Linked DNA regions of Oryctolagus cuniculus. The protein of the gene in region 4 purifies or fractionates together with the protein of the main gene of each other region. This does not show direct contact. Links are inferred from orthologs where the notes say so. Each region holds a gene or a part of one and is shown on either strand. Other genes may lie near its edges.

Evidence for each region. The genes of interacting proteins can lie anywhere in the genome.
Region 1: the proteins of COPS6 (region 4) and RHOBTB1 purify together in Homo sapiens (affinity purification with mass spectrometry; 4 studies listed by BioGRID and IntAct, counting the BioPlex papers as one, with this or other methods). This does not show direct contact. The link is inferred for Oryctolagus cuniculus from reciprocal best matches to the Homo sapiens genes COPS6 and RHOBTB1.
Region 2: the proteins of COPS6 (region 4) and BTBD1 purify together in Homo sapiens (affinity purification with mass spectrometry; 3 studies listed by BioGRID and IntAct, counting the BioPlex papers as one, with this or other methods). This does not show direct contact. The link is inferred for Oryctolagus cuniculus from reciprocal best matches to the Homo sapiens genes COPS6 and BTBD1.
Region 3: the proteins of COPS6 (region 4) and BTBD2 purify together in Homo sapiens (affinity purification with mass spectrometry; 4 studies listed by BioGRID and IntAct, counting the BioPlex papers as one, with this or other methods). This does not show direct contact. The link is inferred for Oryctolagus cuniculus from reciprocal best matches to the Homo sapiens genes COPS6 and BTBD2.

What each region holds. Positions count from the first base shown.
Region 1 is NC_091446.1:53,268,701-53,272,200, reverse strand, and holds part of RHOBTB1 (rho-related BTB domain-containing protein 1), read left to right. Parts: coding exon 1-891; intron 892-2,302; coding exon 2,303-2,421; intron 2,422-3,500.
Region 2 is NC_091443.1:101,886,706-101,890,205, forward strand, and holds part of BTBD1 (BTB/POZ domain-containing protein 1), read right to left. Parts: intron 1,590-3,500; coding exon 1,443-1,589; intron 942-1,442; coding exon 783-941; 3' UTR 1-782.
Region 3 is NC_091447.1:58,981,611-58,984,202, reverse strand, and holds the end of BTBD2 (BTB/POZ domain-containing protein 2), read left to right. Parts: coding exon 1-35; intron 36-206; coding exon 207-404; intron 405-531; coding exon 532-724; intron 725-927; coding exon 928-1,015; intron 1,016-1,090; coding exon 1,091-1,237; intron 1,238-1,526; coding exon 1,527-1,688; 3' UTR 1,689-2,092; downstream 2,093-2,592.
Region 4 is NC_091450.1:42,358,272-42,362,425, forward strand, and holds the start of COPS6 (COP9 signalosome complex subunit 6), read left to right. Parts: upstream 1-1,354; 5' UTR 1,355-1,412; coding exon 1,413-1,479; intron 1,480-1,688; coding exon 1,689-1,814; intron 1,815-2,005; coding exon 2,006-2,137; intron 2,138-2,386; coding exon 2,387-2,475; intron 2,476-2,575; coding exon 2,576-2,638; intron 2,639-2,928; coding exon 2,929-2,976; intron 2,977-3,061; coding exon 3,062-3,176; intron 3,177-3,260; coding exon 3,261-3,353; intron 3,354-3,433; coding exon 3,434-3,534; intron 3,535-3,627; coding exon 3,628-3,768; 3' UTR 3,769-4,154. UniProt on the Homo sapiens protein: Component of the COP9 signalosome complex (CSN), a complex involved in various cellular and developmental processes.

The DNA.
Region 1 (3,500 bases), on a different chromosome or scaffold from region 4:
GTGTATTTGACCAATTCGGAATCAAGGATGTGTTTGACAATGCAATACGAGCCGCGCTGATTTCTCGCCGCCACCTGCAGTTCTGGAAATCTCACTTAAAGAAAGTCCAGAAACCTTTGCTTCAGGCCCCTTTCCTACCTCCAAAAGCCCCTCCACCGGTCATCAAGATTCCAGAGTGTCCTTCCACGGGGATGAATGAAGCTGCCTGTTTACTGGACAGTCCCCTGTGTGCGGATGTCCTGTTCATCCTGCAGGACCAGGAGCACATCTTTGCACATCGGATTTACCTCGCTACCTCTTCTTCCAAATTCTACGATCTTTTTTTAATGGAATGTGAAGAATTCCCCAATTGGGGTGAAGGAGTGTGTGAGAAAGAGAAGCAGAGCACGGATTTCCAGGGGCGGACTTTGAGTCCTGACCTAGATGGGGAGAGGGAGGAAGGCCTGCCTCGGACACCGCAGGCTGATCAAGGGAAGTCGTCAAGGAAGTTCCTGCTGGAGGCCACGGGGCCGGAAGCTGAGGGCTCAACTCCCGAGACACAGACTTTGGCCGGCTGGAGTAAGGGGTTCATTGACATGCACAAGGAGATGCAAGTCAATCCCATTTCAAAGCGAGTGGGCCCCGTGACGGTGGTCAGAATGGACTCCTCCGTCCAGCCAGGCCCTTTCCGCACCCTGCTCCAGTTTCTTTATACAGGGCAACTGGATGAAAAGGAAAAGGATTTGGTCGGCCTGGCTCAGATCGCAGAGGTCCTAGAGATGTTTGATTTGAGGATGATGGTGGAAAACATCATGAACAAGGAAGCTTTCATGAACCAAGAGATTACAAAAGCTTTCCACGTCAGGAAAGCCAATCGGATAAAAGAGTGTCTCAGCAAGGGGACCTTCTCAGGTGAGCCGGTCACCATCTGTTTCCATCCCCTGCTCGGTTGCACATCACACCCCCTGGCCCTGCTCTGCTGCAGTTTCCTGATATTTGCACTCTCGTGCTGCCTGCAGCACCCTCACACAGTTGCTTAAGCACTCTGGTGGCCTGCATCCAATCTGGGTTATGATCCATTCTTACACAACTCCTGCTGTCTGACACAGTACTTTTGTTGTGAAATTATCCTGTGTATGTGAACAAGGGTGTATTTCATTGTAAAAAGTTGACTCCCTGGCTTCTATACCAATGGATACTTACATTTTTATCTTTATCTTTAATAATCACTGCTCTGTATGGTGCTACGCATTTAGAAGTGGTTACTGAATCTGTTGACTAATTTTAAAACTTATGAGCAACATTTGCTCCAAACATTGGCCATTGTGGTATAGAAGCAGTATTGGAAGTTAATGAAAAGAATGTCACAAGTGCAGGCAGCTGGCACAGAGGTGACTAGCACTGCTTGGGATGCCCTCGTCCCATATCGAAGAGCGTGGGTTAGAGTCCGAGCTCCACTTTCATTCCCAGCTACCTGCTAATGTGCACCCTGGGAGGCAGTAGTGATGACTCAAGTAGTTAAGTTCCTGCCACCCATGTGGGAGACCTGGATTGAGTTCTGGGCTCCTTGCTTCAGAACTCTTGTAGTCATTTGGGGAGTGAACCACCCAATGGAAGATCTCTCTCTCCCTCTCTCCCACCCCATGTATATGTGTGTGTTTCTTTCTCTCTCTGCTTTTCAAATAAAATGAAAATAAAAATATTTAAACAGAAGTTGCTACAGATTGTTAGAAAATTAAGTTATGGATCATTAGACAAATTTGTCATGAACTGAATGGTGATATTAGAAAATTATTTCTAATTTTTTTGGTCGCAATATTGGCATGGTTATTTAGGAGAATGTTCTTTTTTGAAAATTCCTGATAAAGTAGTTAGGAGTGACATGTCATATTACCTATTAGAAAAAGTCTACCCACATATATGAAGTTATATATAAATACACATACAGCTGTAGCACATGTGGCAAAATGTTAACAGTGGATAAATGAGTGATTACTATTCTTTCCACTGTTCTGTGTTTGGAATTTTTCATAATAAGAAGTGGACAAAAATATTCCTCTCCTTTTTGTTACTTCCTGGTTCAGGGAATTTGTGTTGTCACTTCTCCTTTTTGTTATTTCCTGGTTCAGAGACTTTGTGTACGTTTAAACACTTGCTCTTCAGTGTGGGAATCAGGTGTGGGAGAGATAGGGGTTGACATAAAACCAGTAAATAAAGACAGAAGAGAGAGTAAGGGACCTGCAGGGTAAAAGGCGGAGCAGAAGCCTTGAGTAAACTCTCTGTGAAGCTGGCTCACTGTTGCGTTCCCTCAATCCTTTGGCAGATGTGACCTTTAAGTTGGATGATGGTGCCATCAGTGCCCACAAGCCACTGCTGATCTGTAGCTGCGAGTGGATGGCAGCCATGTTTGGGGGGTCATTTGTGGAAAGTGCCAACAGTGAGGTAAGGTGCCTTCTACACAGCCTTGTGGTAGCTCCATCAGCGTGTGAGGGTGCATGTTTAATTAGCAAGATGATTTAAGTTCTTCAACTTCCCATGAAATATGCCCTGGACAGTGCTCGAATGTGTGGCTGCCCTTTTTTCATTCTGCAACAATGAGGAGCTGTTGATTGTTGGTCATTTGTTGTGTGTGATGAACACCTGGGTGCTTTACATGCTCTACATACTTTCATCCTCACAGCTTTCCTCACCCATAGAGACATGAACAGCTAGCTATCCTTTTTTTTTTAAATCACCAAGCAAGGTACTATCAAAATCCAGTACGAGAGGGACAGAGCCTATCTTCCAAGGACTCAGAAAAGTCAGAGTTCTTCATTCACTGAAGTCACTCTTACCCAGACAGGACCTTAAGAAGCCACACTGTTGTGCCTTGTTCTGCCCTGCAAGATGAGGCATGCACCAAATCACCCTAGAGGTCCCCAACAGCACAGCACTCCCTAAGCCTCGGCCCTGACTTCACCAATGGTGAGCAGAGAGGAGGGTTTGTTACTTGTAGGGAAACAGTAATGGAACAAACATCCCTCTCTAAGTACATAGGTCTAGTAGAAACTCCTTGGTTGGGTCTGGCACTTCGGTGTAGAAGATTAACCTCTGCCTGCAGTGCCGACATTCCATACAAGTGCCAGTTCGAGTCCTGGCTGCTCCATTTCTGATCTAGCTCTCTGGTAGTGCACATGGGAAAGCAGTAGAAGATGGCCCAAGTCTGTGGGGCCCCTGCACCCACATGGGAGACCCTGAAGAGGCTCCTGGCTCCTTGGCTTTGGTCTGGCCCAGCCCTAGCTGTTGTGGCCATCTGGGGAATGAACCAGTGGATTGAGGGTCTCTCCTCTCTGAAACTTTGACTTTCAAATAAATAAATAAATCTTAAAAAAAAAAAAAAAAAGGAAAAGAAACACCTAGGTCACTTGTTATCCAATGACCTTATCCTAAATAGGAGATATTCTTAGAACACAGCAAGCAGTGTCTTAGAGACAATATGTCTTTATCTTTTTTTACAGACTCTATTGGGAAAGGGGGAAAAG
Region 2 (3,500 bases), on a different chromosome or scaffold from region 4:
AGCGCGGGTGCGCTGACCGCGGTGCTGAAGTGGCCTCCGCTCAGTCCCCGCAGCCCCCGGACAGGCGCGGCCGAGCCTCGCAGTCTGTCTACTGAACAGGAATCAGTCCTAGCCCACACCGTTAGGCCCTTTGCTTATATCGCATTATTGCGAATTTATACAAACTCCATTAATAGTTTTACACTGTATTATGTAACACGTTTCTATACTATTACAAAATATCTGTTCCTTTAAATGCATTGACCATTTTCTTGGGCATTTATTAGGTCTATTTTTAGCATCTCTCCAAATGCTAGCCACCAGATATTTCAAACCCCGAATATAAAGTCAGTTTTATTAATTCTTTGAAATTAGTTATGAGAGCTCATTGGGACTGTAGGAATACTGACCCAACTCATCTAACCCTTCCAAACGGCTAAAACAAAAACAGAAAACAAAACCAGCTACATAAAACAAGATGATTCCAGAACTATTCCAAGACCGTGACCCAGCTGACCTAGGAAATTATACAAGGCGGAGCTGAAATAGCTTCGCTTTTGTTTCTATACAATTACACCCAGTTCTCTTCCTCTAAGATCGTAAGAAAATGGAAAACCTGCCTTTAAGTCAGTCATGCAGAGATTTCAATGAACATTTTCCTATCTCCTTTGAGAAACTAAAATGTTTTTTTATTTTACAATTATAAATACTCAAACACTCCAGCTATTTTTGGGGCCAGTTATTTGTGGTTTTGAGACTAGACGGTATGGTACTACTGAGCTAAGATGTACTGTGATGCTAAACTATGTATAAAATATGATTTCTGGGATTTGTCCATCTTCTATGGAAGTGCCATTGTTATTGCCAGGAGAACTGAAAAATAAGAAAACAGTCTTGCTCGCGGCCGGGGTCTCATGGACCACCTTCTTCAGTCCTTTTGTGCCGTAGTGGGAATCCGGACCCTGAGTGAGAACAAAAGGTTCATGAGCAATTTTCACTTAATAACCCTCAATCTAATGTGCTATTTTAATTAGATTAGTGGTTTACATTCCATTATAGCTCCTACAAAATTTTATGCTAAGTCATTTAATGAAAAACGAAGGTTTTGCCCAAAAGCTAATTAATGAGCACAGAGTGCAGACTGAGTGCAGAGCTCGGCTATTAGGGAGTAAGAGCTCTCAAGAAAGTAATTATTTTCCATTCATTCAGACATTCTAATTTCCTACTCAGACCAGCGGCTACTTCTTAGACCCATTTCCTCCTAAAGAGCTGTACCGAGGAGCACTTCTTTCCCCAGACCACGAGATAGGTCAGCTCCCAGCCTGCCTTCCACCCCGCTCTGCAGGTGCTTCCCAGCTCCTGAGGCATCCAGGACCGAGCTGGGGCCCCACCAGCGCCGGGGTGTGTGTGTGTGTGTGTGTGTGTGTGTATGCACGCGCGCGCACGCTCTAAGCCGCTCTTACCTTGAGGGTGGCGCACGCTGTGTAGCACACGTTGGGCAGGATTTCTATGGGCTCCTTGAACATGACCCTGAACGTGTTCGCGGTCCCATCACAACTAAAGCCGGTATCATTTTGTCCCAGGGTTTGTTTTTTTTCATATTCAATGATCTGTAAGTTTTGAAAGGTTAATTATATTTAAGTCAAAGCAGTCGAATGGACCACTGAGTCTGTGCTCTGACTCTCTCTCTCTCCTGCTGAGAGCCCCAGGAGCAGAGAGGCGCTACTTCCTGCTGGGCAGGAGCTCCAAGTTGGCCTTGGCTGGGGGACAGAGAAGCGTCCCCAAAAGGGCTTTAGAATGTGTGCACTTCACCTAAGGGACATGAGCCTTTAATGCTTGCCAGCTGACGTCTTGTTGCTAGAAAACCCCCTCACCATTGCCCATGTCTTAATGTAATTTACTGCAATTAAAATGACCTTCAGGGGCCAGCGCTGTGGCGTAGTGGGCTAAGCCTCCACCTGCAGCGTCGGCATCCCATGAACGCCTGCCTGTTTGTGTCCTGCTGCTCCTCATCCCATCCAGCTCTCTGCTGTGGCCTGGGAAAGCAATGGAAGATGGCCCAAGTCCTTGGGCCTCTGTACCTGCATGAGAGACCTGGAGCCATCTGGGGAGTGAACCAGCAGATGGAAGACCTCTCTCTCGGTCTCTCCCGGTGTGTAACTCTACCTCTCAAATAAAAAATTTTTAAGAAAATTAAAAAGGAGATGGAAACAGTAACAGTGAAACAAGCTGAAGCCATGTGTGCTGACTAGGTCAGGACAGGAGCCCCAGTGCGGGCAGGGACTGGGTACTGGGTTCCCAGCGGTGTGCAGTTTATGGAAACTGAGCCCTCAGTACCACTTATAGAATATGCACACTTTTCCTGTGTGTCTATCAAAGTTCAATTAAAAAAAAATACTGAAAGGACACACCATGATGGTGCCCTGGAGAACAGCAGTGGGCATGGGATTTGGCTGTGACTGTGCAATCCAGGAAAAAACCACGGGCTTCTCCTGAGTTTCACTCGGATCTTTTCATTTGGGAACGAATCTTGCTTTACCTTCTTCCCAAGATTATTGTGAGAATCAAAGTAACGACACACGACAGTGACTGGCCGAGTGCTAGCACGTTCCACGCAGCCTCGCCGTGGCGTGGGTTCCGCCTGACTGACGGCAGGGAGGAGAGGGAGGCTCACGCAGGTCGCTGATGCGCCCACCGCTATACCTCGCAGGGCTCCCTGGCTTCAGCAGGGCTCTCCATCGCCCTTCACCTGGCAAGACCCAGGGCAGGAACTCTGAAACGTGGGACCTATCAGCCTCGCCTGCCTTCTGCCATTGCCCATCACTCGCCTTTCTGACTCGCTGCTCTCAATACTGCTGTCCGTGGGGATGTTAGAGAAATGGAGATGCACTCAGCCCTCAGTCTACCGTCTTTCCTTAATGGGGTATGGAGCCAGTGACAGTGCACGGGGTTGACTACTGCTCTTCCAAGCGTGGACAGAAGGCAGCCCCTCTCTCTCTGCCTTTGAAACCCACGTGTCATTGCTACTATAATACAGGCCTTTGGCACTTTCCATCTGTCCAAAGTTGTTCTTGAAGAAGTGCATGTCTGTCCCTTGGGTGTAAGGTGAAGTGGTTCCCTACGAACAGGCGGATGAAGATGATGAATTTGTACAACAAAATGCTGCCTCTGTTGTGCCCAGCCCTGCTACTTCAACGGTACAGACTTCCCGTCCATCTCTGAGGTAGGGACCCTGGGCGGGTACTGTGAACAAGCCTTCCAGGTACTTCCAATAAACAGTCCTGTTTAAATATTTATTTATTTGAATATTATTTAAATATTTATTTATTTGAGTTATGGGGCCGGCGCTGTGGCCTAGCGGGTAAAGCCACTGCCTGCAGTGCCGGCATCCCATATGGGTGCTGGTTCGAGTCCTGGCTGTTCCACTTCTGATCCAGCTCTCTATGGCCTGGGAAAGCAGTGGAAGATGGCTCAAGTGCTGGGGCCACCACACCTGCGTGGGAGATCTGGGGGAAGCTCCT
Region 3 (2,592 bases), on a different chromosome or scaffold from region 4:
CATCGCCGCCGAGGGCTTCACGGACATCGACCTGGGTGCGCGGGCGGGGCGGGGCCCGGGGGCGGGGCAGGGCGTGGGAGTGGGCGGGGCCGAGTAGAGGGACATCGACCTGGGTGTGCGGGCGGGGCGGGGACGGGGGCGGGGCGGGGCCGAGCGGCCGGGGCGCGCTCCCGGTGACAGCCCCGCGCCCGCGCCCGCGCCCGCAGACACGCTGGTGGCGGTGCTGGAGCGCGACACACTGGGCATCCGGGAAGCGCGGCTGTTCAGCGCCGTGGTGCGCTGGTCCGAGGCCGAGTGCCAGCGGCAGCAGCTGCCCGTGACGCCCGAGAACAAGCGCGCGGTGCTGGGCGCCGCCCTGGGCCTCATCCGCTTCCCGCTCATGACCATCGAGGAGTTCGCGGCAGGTGCGCGGCGCGCGGCGGGTGTGGGGAGCCCCGTGCGTCCTGCGCCGCGTGGGTGCCAGGGGCCCTGGGGCCGCTCCCGGCGTCGGGTGGGGGCGGCTGCCCGCTGAGCGCGTCCGCCCGTGCGCAGGCCCCGCCCAGTCGGGCATCCTGGGCGACCGCGAGGTGGTCAGCCTCTTCCTGCACTTCACCGTGAACCCTAAGCCGCGCGTGGACTTCATCGACCGGCCGCGCTGCTGCCTGCGCGGGAAGGAGTGCAGCGTGAGCCGCTTCCAGCAGGTGGAGAGCCGCTGGGGCTACAGCGGCACCAGCGACCGCATCAGGTGCGGCGCCCCCCCCCCCGCACGCTCACGCGCCCCCGCCCCCCCCTCGGGTTCCTGCAGTCCCCGCCCACCACCCCGCACGCTCACGCGACCCCCACGGCGGGTTCCTGCAGACCCCCCCCCCCCGCACGCTCACGCGGCCCCTCCCGCGGGCTCCTGCAGCCCCCCCCGACACCCCCGCACGCTCACGCGCCCCCCCCCAGGTTCTCCGTCAACAAGCGCATCTTCGTGGTGGGCTTCGGGCTGTACGGCTCCATCCACGGCCCCACCGACTACCAAGTGAACATCCAGGTGCGCCCGGGCCGCCCCGCCCCCGGGGGGAGGGGGCCCCCGCGCGCGCCGCCCCTCACCGCGCCCCTCCCCCAGATCATCCACACGGACAGCAACACCGTCCTGGGCCAGAACGACACCGGCTTCAGCTGCGACGGCTCGGCCGGCACCTTCCGCGTCATGTTCCGGGAGCCGGTGGAGGTGCTGCCCAGCGTCAACTACACGGCCTGCGCCACGCTCAAGGTGCGCCCGCCCCCGCCCCGCCCCGCCCCCAGCGCCCGGCCCCGCCCCTGCCCCTCCCCGCCAGCCACGCTCAAGGTGCGCCCGCCCCCGCCCCGCCCCCAGCGCCCGGCCCCGCCCCGCCCCCAGCACCCGGCCCCGCCCCTAGCGCCCGGCCCCGCCCCCAGCGCCCGGCCCCGCCCCGCCCCCAGCGCCCGGCCCCGCCCCCGCCAGCCACGCTCAAGGTGCACCCGCCCCACGGCCGCCCGCCCCCAGCGCCCCGGCCGCCCCGCTGACCGCCCCCGCCCCTCAGGGCCCCGACTCGCACTACGGCACCAAGGGCCTGCGCAAGGTGACCCACGAGTCCCCCAGCACCGGCGCCAAGACCTGCTTCACCTTCTGCTACGCCGCGGGAAACAACAACGGCACCTCGGTGGAGGACGGCCAGATCCCCGAGGTCATCTTCTACACCTAGGCCCGTCTACACCTGGGGCCCGCGGTCGCCGTCTACACCTGGGGGGCCCGGCCCCGGCCCCGAGGTCGTCCTCTACAGCTAGCGGCCCGAGCCCCCACAGCCCCCAGAGCCCCGGGGTCATCTACACCTAGCGGCGCCGGCCACGGGGACCCCGCGGGGGGAACGCGACCTCGGCCCCACGAGCCCCGAGGCGGAGGCCGGTCGTGGCCTCCGTGGCCGCCGCCGCCCAGCCCGTGCCCAGGCGGCGCCTCCGACCCGGGGCCGGGGGCGGGGCCGAGGCTGCGGCCAGACCCAGGGCGGCGCCCACCTGTACATAGCCGACCCCCGCCCCGCCCCGCGACCCCCGCCACGGGAGGCCGCTCATGCGCCCCCGGATGATTTTTTTAAATAAAGGGAGAAACGCACGTGCCCTGAGCCGCACCCCTTCCGTCCGCGCTCAGCCCGCGGGCGCTGCCCACGGCCCCACGGGAGGAGCGGCCCCGGGGACGCAGCCACGAGGGGGCCCGAGCGGCACGCGCCGTCCGCGGGAGACGAGCGGTGGCCGGAAGCCGACACCCCCCACCCACAGGCACACACGGGGAGGGCACACTGGGGGTCCCGCCTCTGCCGCCAACGCGACGCCCTGATGACGGCCGGGCGGGCTCCCGGGCGCGGGCGGCCGCGGATGGGAGGGCCCTGGGCACCTCTGCCTTCTCCGTCTTCAGGCAGACATTGACGCCACTCACCGCTGCGCCGAAGCGCGCCCCCTGTTGTTCTCAAGGATGTTTGAAGGGCGGCGGGGGGGGGGGGGAGGCCCTCCACCTGCCGGGTCACTCCCCAGTCGGCCGGGGCTGTGCCGATCCGGAGCCAGGAGCTCCATCCGGGTCCCCCACGCGGGTGCAGGGCCCCCAGCACCTGGGCCATC
Region 4 (4,154 bases):
TTATTTTCCATCCTTAGCAACTATGCCTCTGAGTTTAAGAGCAAGAAGCTGAGGTAAACTGGCTGGAGCTGTGCCGATCCAAAGCCAGGAGCCAGGAGCTTCTTCCAGGTCTCCACGCCGGTGCAGGGTCTCAAGGACTTGGGCCATCCTCCACTGCTTTCCCAGGCCATAGCAGAGAGCTGGATCAGAAGTGGAGCAGCCGGGACTTGAACCGGCACCTGTATGGGATGCCGGCCACTGAAGGCAGGTGGGGGCACCTCTAGGCCACAGCGCCGGCCCCCCACGTGCTCTTGAACCATCACCTGCTGCCTCCCAGGGAGTGTATTCCAGGAAGCTGGATCAGAGGCAGAGCTGGGACTGCACACGCATTTTCTGATGATGCAAGTGACACAAACAGCAACTTAACTGTTGAGCCAAACACTCGCCCCGAGGAATGAGGTAAACGGTTAATTCCCGTAGGCCAGAAGTCCCCTCACCCCGCAGCGTGTCTCAAGTCCATTCCTCTGAGAACTGTGGAACTCTGTTCAGGCTCCTAAGTGGGGTGACTGCTGGATTTCCCACCACTCTCCCCGGAACACCTCCTGGGACCAGCTCACACTTGGGGGCGGCGATGCAGACACCGAAACGGCCAGCCGGACCCAAACTGTAGCGGCAGCAGGAGGGGCGGTCGGTGACCGCAACCGGCTCGGGCTTGGGGGAGCAGGGAGAGCTGGGGTGGGCTGGAGCCGGCAAGGTTGGGAGGTTGGGATGGGTGGGGGCTGTTCCCAGTGCTGCACCTAATACCAGTATTTGGAAGGAGGAAAGATAGGATATGCAGACGGAGCCGCCCAAATCCCGGCTCCACCCCAAAGTTCTGCATCCATTCACTCAAAAAAAAAAAAAAAAAAAAAAAAAAAAGGCCCCCATGTGTGTTGGTCACAGGGGTACCGGGATGAGAGACAGGACTCCCAGCCCTGTGGCTGGCAGTCAGTGAGTATGTACGGAAAACAGATACGAGGTCCTGGCCGAACCCCAGGGACCCAAGGCTGGAAAGGTGGAAGCCAGGGCCAGGCCGCCCGGCAGGCAGGGGTCAGAGCACACGGCCTCTCGGCTTGCGGTCAGCAGTCTGGATTTCATTGTGAAAGTTGCCATTGCATTCATTCTGCAACCCCCTTAAGCGCTAGCCATTCTTGTCCCAGCTTTACTGCCGGGAACGATTCAGGCGGGGCGCGCGGAGTGGACTGATCCGGCCCAGGTCGCCCGCAGGCGAGACGCGGGGGTCACGCTCCACCGAGACCGCGCCACACTCAGGGAACTGACCGCTCGCTCCCGGGCGGCCCGACGCGCGCCGCGGGGACACCGCGCATGCGCCGCTCGCCGTACGGAAGCCGGGAGGGCAGGGGGCGGGGCCGAGGCTGGCGGGCGCGGGGAAAATGGCGGCGGCGGCGGCTGCGGCGAACGGGACCGGAGGGAGCAGCGGGATGGAGGTGGATGGAGCAGGTAACGGGCTGCGCGGGGGCGACTTCTGGAGACAGCACTCAGGGGTGCGTGCAGGCCGTCTTGGACTCCCGGGGGACGTGAGGAGGGCGGTGGGATAACTTGTGGGAGCGATGTATGGCCCCGGCTCTGCCGTCCCCCGACTCCCATCTCCAGGGAAGAGCGTGGGGGTCCGGAGACTCTCACCCTCTCTCCGTCCCCTGCACCGTCAGTAGTCCCCAGCGTGATGGCCTCCGGAGTGACCGGCAGTGTTTCCGTCGCCCTCCATCCTCTCGTCATCCTGAACATCTCCGACCACTGGATCCGCATGCGCTCCCAGGAGGGGCGGCCTATGCAGGGTGAGTGTTGGGCGTGCTTCTCCGACCCCGTCCCCTCGGTAGCTCCCCGGGCCTCGTCAGCCGAAGCCAGTCCCCCTCCCCCATCACTGTTTCTGCAGCAGTCGGCCCACACGTGCCCTCAGACCCCCAGCGGGAGATCAAGTTTTGGGATTCCCTACCGTCCCCTCTCACGTCCGTTCTCTTCCCCCCAGTGGTCGGGGCTCTGATCGGGAAGCAGGAAGGCCGGAATATTGAGGTGATGAACTCCTTTGAGCTGCTGTCCCACACCGTGGAAGAGAAGATTATCATCGACAAGGAGTATTATTACACCAAGGAGGAGCAGTGTGAGAGGGGAAGCCAGTGGGGGAGAGGTGTGGGGGGTCAAAGAAAGAAAAACAAAACAAAACACAGGACCGGGGAGAAATAACCAGGAGAGGAAGCCGAGAATGGAAGAGTTAATTCACCTGAAGAGATCTCAAGACGGTATTCCCTAAAACGGTGTACAGGATGAGCGGTCAGAATAGCAGGGGTGAGGAGGGAGGGGGAGCTCGGAGGCAGGGAGGGTGGTTTAAAGAAGTACGATTGCTCTCCAGTTAAACAGGTATTCAAGGAGCTGGAGTTTCTGGGCTGGTACACCACAGGGGGGCCGCCTGACCCCTCCGACATCCACGTCCACAAGCAGGTACAGATACAGACGCTCACACCTGCGACTGGCGGGTGGGGGGCGGGGGGCGGGGAGAAGAGGGTGGGACGTCCACCTGCACGCCGGCCCTCTCCTCCAGGTGTGTGAGATCATCGAGAGCCCCCTCTTTCTGAAGTTGAACCCTATGACCAAGCACACAGACGTGAGTAGTCCTGACCTCGTGCCGTGCTTGTTTGTCGGTCCGCTGTTGCCGGTAGCACAGCTTCTTAGCAACTGGGCAGTGCTGGGGTTGAACCTCCGTTCTGCCCTTAGCAGCTGCGTGGCTTTGAGTGGCGTTTAACCTCCACATTGCTGTTTCACATGTGAAACGGGGATACTCCCTACCTCCCTGGGTTCTTGTGAAGATCGGATGGGAGGCGGTGCCCACGTGTAGCACCTAGTGGAGATTCAAGTCATTTGCTGTTCCTAAGAGCTGTTCTCTGTTCTTTACAGCTTCCTGTCAGCGTTTTTGAGTCTGTCATTGATATAATCAACGGAGAGGTAACGCCTGACCCCTCACCCCTCAGGGCCTGCTCGACGCATTTCCGATTTTGACTCTCACTGTCTGGGACACTCTGCTCCACAGGCCACGATGCTGTTTGCTGAGCTGACATACACTCTGGCCACAGAGGAAGCTGAACGCATTGGTGTTGACCATGTGGCCCGAATGACAGCCACAGGCAGTGGAGAGAACTCCACCGGTAATGGAGGGGATTCCTTGGAAGCGAGGGTGGGAGGTATGGCCAAGTGCCTTCTCACTCTCTGCCCGTGCCTGTCCCTTGCAGTGGCTGAACACCTGATAGCACAGCACAGCGCCATCAAGATGCTGCACAGCCGGGTCAAGCTCATCCTGGAGTACGTCAAGGCCTCTGAAGCAGGTAGGGCAGGCCTGTGGCGTCCACCTCCCCCCCGGCCAAGTGACAGCATCCATGTGAATGCGGTCTCTTCTTGTCTGTAGGTGAGGTCCCCTTTAACCATGAGATCCTGCGGGAGGCCTATGCTCTGTGTCACTGCCTCCCAGTGCTCAGCACAGACAAGTTCAAGACAGACTTTTACGATGTGAGTATGAAACCCGGCTGGGGAGGTTTTGCTCACAGGATGGGACTGCAAAGAGGGATGCCTGGAGAACTGGTTCTTTCTGTTCCCCTGCAGCAATGCAATGATGTGGGGCTCATGGCCTACCTCGGCACCATCACCAAAACCTGCAACACCATGAACCAGTTTGTGAACAAGTTCAACGTCCTCTATGACCGACAAGGCATTGGCAGACGGATGCGGGGCCTCTTCTTCTGAGGCCACTTGAAAGGATGCACTGGGCTCAGCGGCCTGTCCCAAGGGGAGGGGCGCGCCACTCCCTTAGAGAACCGCTGTGGTCAATAAAAGGGGATCAGCCCCTCAGCACCCCTCCCAGTGGCTCTGTCCTCTCTGTCGGGCACCAGATTTCCCAGTGGGGACCTTAGGTGAGGCCCCTTGTGCCAGCTTTGTGAGGCAGAATCTGTGTCAGCACTTGGCAGTGCACTGCCTCCTGAAGTGACCCCACAGCCAGTTGGGTGGAGGACTCAGGAGCACCCGCGATCTTTGCTCTGCGCTTTCACGTCACCCTGTGGGGTCCACCTGAGCTCAGTGCAACTGCTTTCCCCATTTAAATTAACTTCATTAAAGTTTTTCTCATACATAAA